Linked DNA regions of Oryzias latipes. The protein of the gene in region 2 interacts with the protein of the main gene of each other region in a pairwise test. Links are inferred from orthologs where the notes say so. Each region holds a gene or a part of one and is shown on either strand. Other genes may lie near its edges.

Region 1 (3,872 bases), about 12 Mb from region 2:
AATTTCCCACGGCACACTTGACCATCTCCCACGGCACACTGGTTGAAAAACACTGATCTAAATGATGATTGTTTATTTATGATCTCATAAAGTGCAGCATTACCTGCTGTCTTTATGACAAATACTGACACCAACTAAACCACAGGCAGACAAAGAATACATCTATGGAAAATAAAGACGTCATCAAAATTTCTACAATAGTTAATAAAGAATGACATTATTAACATGAGCTGAGTCATCTAAAGCAGTGTTTTTCAACCAGTGTGCCGCGGCACACTAGTGTGCCGTGGGAGATGGTCAAGTGTGCCGTGGAAAATTGCCCTCATTAACTGATCTAAAAACATTTCCCATCTCCAGGAAATCAGGTCTTTGTTCATCCAAACAGGTCCTGATAAAACACTGAGTAGTTAGGAATATAAACGATCATAAAATACTTTTTTCGTTGTGTTTATTTGATTCTATTAAAGACATTTTGATAAGAATGACGGTAACGCGAAATAGCTGCAGCTATAACTGTGTAAGGAAAAGTCCCGCAGCTTTTACTGTCTCCACGACTCCACCAATCATTCTTGAAGGCTTAATCACATGTCATCAGTCTGACCAATCAGAAGTGGTTAAAGTCTCCACTTCCTTGTTCCAAATTAGCTCATAACTCAGTCAGTTCCGACAAAAACACCAGCTAAAGCTCGTCTTTAGCGGTGGAGCTTTCCACAGAATCTGGTATCAGACCGTGGAACAAGTGAACAAAACCATGAAGCTCAGAGACGCGAGTCTTTCTGCCGTTTTCTCGCAGTTTTCACACTACATCTCCCATGATGCATTGGCTTAAAGGGACAGCGTCTTGAAAACACAACGAACATACAGTTTGTATGTAACTTAACTTTTATTACATCTTTTAGAAAAACATCTGCAACTTCCTGCTTTTTCTGCCACAATTATCACAAAAATGCACGTCAGATTGCCGGGGGGGGCTGTAGATCAAAACAGACTATGAGTTTCTGCTTTTTTTTTTTTTTTTGGGATGCTGGTGTGCCGCGGGATTTTTGTCAAGGTTAAAGTGTGCCGTGGCTCAAAGAAGGTTGAAAAACACTGATCTAAAGGCACGTGATGATCCTGGTGTTGCGCAATCTAGCGCTCCGCGTGCCCCCTTCCACCTTGCAGCCTGAGCCCCCTTCCCCTCCGCTTTCATTCTCACACACGCAGCCGTGTGTGACGGGAGACAGGAGCAGCTGCAGGGATGGCAGTTCACAGTTTCAGGCTGTTACAAACACTGATATAACAGACAATAGTAAACCAACAGTGGCGCAAATGTTTTTAAAGCACTGAGCCACTGTCACCACCGCGCCCTGTTAAATTTACGCCCCGGGCAATTGCCCGTATTACCTGTGCCTAAAACCGCTACTACTGCGCGCCCCCCATGGCATCGCATCGGGGTGCGCCCCACTATTTGAGAACCACTGAATTAAGGTAAAAGACCCACTTTGAATTCCTTTGCAAATACCTACAAAAATCCTAATTCTTTTAAGTTCTCTTTTATTTTTAAAGTTTCCTCAAATGTTTTTGAAGTGTAGAAACAAGAAATTTAGGGAAATTGTCACAAATAAACAATTGAAAGAAAAAAAACGTTCATATATTCAATTTTATAATCTATTATCACTTTTTTGTGAGCTTGATTAGTTTGGACTTTTAGAGACTTTCTGTTTTTATTTTGACAGAGTTCTAGGTTAAAGTCACACTCCAATCATCTTTTGACCTATTGTACAAGCGTTGCCAGTTGTCCTGTAGTTATCCAAAAATCTGTGTCGTTTTCTTGGACATAGTTTCTGTAGGGCGGCAGTCGTTCACTGTTGTCATGATTGTCGGCGTGAGCATCCCCACCCCCCTTCCCCTCCCTGTTGCTGAGAGATCGGAGCAGGGAGCCTCAGCGTATGTTCAACATCACAAATGAGCTCTTGTTAAACTGCATCGTCAGGAAAAATATCTCAAAGACATTTTAAAATCACCAAAGACACCATTTTCATTGGTGTGGGTCTTTAAGGAGTGTTTGATTAAATGTCATCTTCACATCTTGTCCACTTCCTACCTTGTGGTTCAGGCAGCTGCTCAGTGTCGCCGATGACAAAGTGGTGAACTACACCTCAATGGTTCTTCACACATGTCTGGATGAGGCTAAAGTGGAAGATTTGTCAAAGCCACAGAACATCGCGCTGGCCCTGAAGGTGATGGAGGTCTGCAGAACCCATCCTGATGTGGACTGGACGTAAGTTCACACTTCCATTTAAAGTTTCTTTTCTCCTTTTAGTCAAACCCCCCCACCCCCACCCCCATATACACACACAATCTGCACATCATTTGGGTTCAGTTTCACAGCAGAAACCGGTCTAGATCCAACCCTCTGCACTTCCCAGACATGAAACTTACTGTAGGAGCCAAAATGTAGTTTCTTTTTTTTTTTTGTTTTTCTTGTTTACTTTGAAGTTTGGAATATTGCAGACATTTTGTTAAAGTTACATCTGGGAGAAATGTTTGAGGGCACACCTGTACTCTAACTTCGAAACTAAAAGAAACATACAGGATTAAAAAGTGAAACTTACTCACAATAATCAAGAGAGTTGAATAATTTTTGATGTAACTACACCCCCCCCCCATTTTGCATCATTTAGTGTATTTCACATTTTTCCAACACAACTTTTTAACTTATTTATCTAAAAGAAAAATTTGTCATGATATCGGTGCTTGTTGTTTTTCTGACAAATGTCGTCTTTTAAACTTAAGGAGCAATTTTTTTATGTTGCTGTTTTGTCTTTTTTTTGTTAGTTTCTAAATCTTAAGAACACTTTATATACACAGTGGGGCAAAAAAGTATTTAGTCAGCCACCAATTGTGCAAGTTCTTCCACTTAGCGATGAGAGGTGCCTGTACTTTTCATCATAGGTAAACCTCAACTATGAGACAAAATGAGAAGAAAAAAACAGAAAATCATATTGTCTGATTTTTAAAGAATTTATTTGCCAATTATGGTGGAAAATAAGTACTTGGTCAATAACTAAATTCTTTGTTATAAGCCCTTTGTTTGCAATGACAGCAGTCAAGCGTTTTGTGTAAGTCTTCTTAAGATTTTCACAAACTGTTGCTGGTATTTTTGCCCATTCCTCCATACAGATCTCCTCTAGAGCAGTGATATCTTGGGGCTGTCGCTAGGCAACACAGACTTTCAACTCCCTCCAAAGATTTTCTATGGGGTTGAGATCTGGAGTCTGGCTAGAGCACACCAGGACCTTGAAATGCTTCTTATGAAGCCAATCCATGTTACCCGGGCAGTGTGTTTGGGATTGTTGTCATGCTGAAAGACCCAGCCACGTTTCATCTTTAATGCCCCTGCCGATGGAAGGTTTTCACTCTAAATCTGATAATACATGGCCTCATTCATTCTTTCCTTTAATTCAATTCAATTAAATTTTATTTGTATAGCCCAAATTCACAACAACAGTCGTCTCCATGGGATTTGTATCGGTAATTGAAAAAGTAAAACATAAAATCAAAAGGATAATGAATACATAGAATTTAATAGGAAAATACTAAATTGAACTAACTAAACAGACTAAACTAAACTGGCATCCCTGCCCTTAGACCAGGGGTGTCCAAATCCAGGCCTCAAGGGCCGGCAAACTGCAACTGGCAACCGGTTTTCCAGAAACCCTGCCTCATCTGCTTGTTTAAGAGAACGTGTGTTTCAGCGTTAAACCACTGCGCAACCTGCTTTGTCTAACGAACTTAAGTTTCAGGGGGGCAACAACATCGAGTGTAATCTTAAGGGCATGTAAGGCATCATTAACAAACAGGTCATTTATACTAGGACTGATGCTGTGGGA
Region 2 (4,328 bases):
CGTCCGTCTTTGTTTTACTCGTCTGAGCAGGAACATGGCTCTAAACTGTACAGCTAGATAGCTTGCTTGCCATTTTTCTGGTACCGGTAATGTTAGATTGACGGTGTTAGGGGTTGTAACCTAGCAGGAGAGTGCATAAACAGAGAGCTCTCAGCAACGGTCAACAACAAATCGCAGAGGCCAATTTCTAATGAACTACTGCCGCTCTGTAGAAATTACGTCCTAGAGAACGACAGGATTTTGGCTAAATATAACTGAAAACCCAGTGGGAATGTTTTTAGAATAGATTAAAAGAGGATCGGAATGGGTCTTTAGGCAAGTATGCCCAAGATCTCAGATGCACAGCATCCTTTTTGTTAGTGTTCAGCCTGGGAACGGCTCAAACCGTTGGCTTTTAACGCCAGGGCAGCAGCTTGGAAGCATGTTTACAGGCCTTTCAGCAACACAACATTTTTTAAGTTTGGATTTGTCTGCGATTTACAAACAAAGTCAACCTCTGGCCTGAATGATATCAGAGCTTCAGCACAAAGCACAGCTTCAGACTGTGAGTCATATCCAAACTTAGTATCATCTCCTGAAACCCAGTTAGGAGAACTTGGGACAGGTTATTTATAACCACGCACCAGTCACTAGCAATGGGAGGGTCACCACTGCACCATGCAGAGAACCATCACGACAGAATAAGACAAAAGCCAGTATCTCATGTCCATTTCTGTAGATTTTAATGGGTATAACGTTAGAAATCATAATGTCTCAGACATCTGTTAACCAACCTGGACTGCAAAAGAACAGATAATCTTTAAATCCCACATTATTATTGCTTAACTGCTCAGAGATCACATGCTGGCATATAACACCCACTTCTCACTGCTAGAAATACACAGATTTAAAGCAGCTTGCCCCCATATTTGCTCTATTGAAGTTATAAACCAATAACTCACTACAGACTTCAAAAAATAAAACAATGTCCACCTAGCAGCATCGATGACATCAGATAGAAAAGGGGACTGGAGGTAAAGCCAGGTTTTGGCAATCTTCTACCATATGGACAATGCTGACAGAAAGAACAGAAAAAGAGCAGCTATCTATGACCAGACATGTGAATGTGAGCAATGTGATGACATGGCTGATGACCAAGCATTAAACAATTAATGTGAGCTCAGACTGTCCCTAATGTTAGAACAAACAAACAAAATGTAGACAGCCAAACTTACGAAAATAAAAGCACACAAACAAAATAACCCCTTTTTCTCTGTTTAAAAAAAAAAAACAGATCATGGAGTGTCGTTATAGTAGATCATGGGCATCTTTACTAAGAAAAAAAAAAGAGTTTATACTTAGCTTATTATGTTATGAGTGGCACAAATAAGCTTAATAGCTGTTCTGAGAACACGCTTTTTTCCTTAGTACAATTAAGTGATGACTGGGTAAAATAAAAAAATAAAAACTATCGTCGGTTAAAAGGTTGAATTTAAATCTGTCATTTGTTTGGGGCTTACCAACACATCGATCCGACCGCTTAAGTCTCTAACAAAGTCTGGTGATCCAGTAAGCACCAAAGCTACGGAGCGAAGCTACGGTAGTTAGCGGGCACATAGCTCAGCTCGGTACGGCTGACTTTCCGGTTTAGCCAACAAACCAAACACCAGTATTTGGTAGTATTTGTTTAAAAAAACAAGTCATTAAAAGTCCTATTTCAGAGAACAAAAAACAATTCGTGTAAATGAATGAATTAAGCGACGATGAAGTCCAACAGCTAACAAGTTATCTTAGCATGCTAGCAGCCTTAAGCTAACCCTAAATACAAGTTTAATAGCATTTTCTTTAGCTCGATTTTGGACTAACCTTTGAGCAAAACTTGACTTTAACTAATTTGGGATTATTTCAAAAGAACAATTTAAGGAAAAAAAGGTTGTCGCGCTGTCCTAAAAGGCTAGCCACATTTGTGATTTGGGGTTATCAACAAAACTACTTTTACTGCTAACCAGGTGAGGTAGTACTAGCAGCCGTCCACTGCCATAAAACCAAGAATCCCAAACAGGGATGCGTCTATCAATGGAAACGTTTGTAACTAAAGTCGATACTTTATGACATAAATTTAATTTATGTTACTTAACTTCACCAGACAAGAAATTAAACACTGACGTTTCATTTAAATGGGCTTTTCATGTAGCAATTTTAACATGATGTACTGTAATTAGACTACACCCAGAGCAGGGAATACACAGACCCGCTTTAGAGGTAAAAGAGGGATTCATTGGAGGGAAACTTGGCCAAAAATCGTCAGGTGTGTTCGCTAAGGTGTGTGAAAGCTGTTTGTGGGGTATCCCCCGCGCAAGCTTCTTGTTCCCTGGTGCGTCGAATCGAAAGGAAGAGGGCTCGGTAGGTAAACAACGGGATGAGAATGGCTTCCACTTGACAGGTGTTCCAGGGAAAGCAGTTGCATGCTGTAAAGCCCTGTTTGAGAGCGGCAGGGGCTGCAGGCTGGTTTTAACGGAGACAGCAGGTGAGCACTGACCTGGTGGAGCGCTGTGAGGCCGTCCACATTGGCATAGTTGATGTCAGCACCCCGGTCCAGCATACGGAGCACCTCCTCTGTATCGCCGCTTGAGCAGGCGGCCAGAAACACGGCGCCATCATCGAACTTCACCTTCGTCTTCTTCTTTTTGAAAACAGGAGGCTCCTGGTCCGTTTCCGAGCCCATCCATCGCTTTAGCTGTTCATTCCTTTTCTGCTTGGCGTCCGCCATCTTCATCCCCCTCCTGTCTCGGGCTTCTTATCTTTCTCCGAGAGAGGATATACTTTATAGTGCCACTATCCCACGGGCGCACTGGGGCGTGGGAAGGGAGGGCTGAGGAGGAGGAGGAACTGAGCGAAAGAAGTCTGAATTGTTTGACAAAATCTCGCGAGAACTAAAATCCAGGCTCTGCAGTATACGTCACCATCAGCAGATATGAGGAAAGTGGAGGAAATGTACGGTAGCCCCTAGGAACAAAATTAGCAATGAAGAATTTTTAAATGCATCACTGCTAAATAAAAATAAAAGAAAAAATTGAAATGTTAGAGACATTAAAACAACAAATGAAATGATCAAACCGCAAAACTTCACAAAAAAAGAATAAAATTTAACCTAAATATTTTTCCCCCAAAAATGAAGGGGGGGGGGGGGGGGAATTTGACTAATTAGCCAACTATAAATGAACAAAATAAAAGCAACATCTTTAAAGCTTACAGGTCTAAGGGTCATTTACCAGGCAGTCTGTTGGGGGTTCAACTCTCAGGTTTCATTAAATAAGTTTCTTGCTTTCTTTTAGTAGCACCTTACTTCTTTCTGAATGGATTTTAAAATATGTTATACCGGGTTTTTATAGTGGTGTATTTTATTATGAAAAGTAACGGCACGTCATAGTCATTGTGTAAAGGTAACCTATACAAAAAGGTGTTTATTGGTAGGCTAAATGCAGCCAAATTCTAAAATGTATGATAATGTTTACAAATAGACTTGAAGAAAAGGTTTTTTATTGAACCGAAAATGTTTTAAACCACAAACCATTGCCTTTTTAGTTTTAAACAAACAAACAAAACAAAACAAAAATATGTATATATACTGTATATATGTATTTTTTTTACCTACATGGGTACCAACACGGAAAAAAATACTTGTTATATTGGCTAAAACACATCGTGATCTGTTTGTTTCATTGTAAAGACTGAGTTGCATATCTCTCCATTAGACATCTTGTTTTTTCGCACTTCTATTATTATCAAAGTCTTTCAAATGGGAGGGGACTTGTTTCCTGTTCTTTTCATTTTAGGAAGCAAAGGGATTTTTTTCCTGCAAACTAAACAAACTTTAACTGTACAGGTATTTCCCCTTTTGATCCCTTTGTTCCATGCATGGGTGCATCCAAAAATCTCTCCTCCATCTTTGTCATATGCAAGGTTATTTTTGAGTCTAAAAGAAAACACGACGCTCAAAGAGTAAAAATAAAACCAGTTTCACCTGCAGTGATTAGATGGATAGCACTTGGTGAGCTTGGAATGTAGACTCAAGCACAAAGGAGGTCCACATCGACCTGTATTAAAAACAGTTTCCCTTTTTATTTTATTTTTTTCCACTAAATTGTTGGCAGGGGAGTGTGCATATTCAGTAGGAAGTGTGCTATTAGTTTGTTGCATGCAAGTCACAGGGATAAAATGTGCATTCAGTGCTGTTTTCTTCAGCACAGAACTGTCATCACACATGAAAACGTGCCCGAAAATTGTAAATGCCTGATGCAACCAACCCACCGACGTCCAGAAAAACGACTCCAGCGAGAATGATTATT

The links.
Region 1: the proteins of ppp1r12a (region 2) and atxn10 interact in binary tests that used the Homo sapiens proteins (3 or more experiments, as listed by UniProt). The link is inferred for Oryzias latipes from reciprocal best matches to the Homo sapiens genes PPP1R12A and ATXN10.

What each region holds. Positions count from the first base shown.
Region 1 is NC_019881.2:6,818,090-6,821,961, reverse strand, and holds part of atxn10 (ataxin-10), read left to right. Parts: intron 1-2,095; coding exon 2,096-2,260; intron 2,261-3,872. UniProt on the Homo sapiens protein: May play a role in the regulation of cytokinesis. May play a role in signaling by stimulating protein glycosylation. Induces neuritogenesis by activating the Ras-MAP kinase pathway and is necessary for the survival of cerebellar neurons.
Region 2 is NC_019881.2:19,251,558-19,255,885, reverse strand, and holds the start of ppp1r12a (protein phosphatase 1 regulatory subunit 12A), read right to left. Parts: upstream 2,867-4,328; 5' UTR 2,756-2,866; coding exon 2,519-2,755; intron 1-2,518. UniProt on the Homo sapiens protein: Key regulator of protein phosphatase 1C (PPP1C). Mediates binding to myosin. As part of the PPP1C complex, involved in dephosphorylation of PLK1. Capable of inhibiting HIF1AN-dependent suppression of HIF1A activity.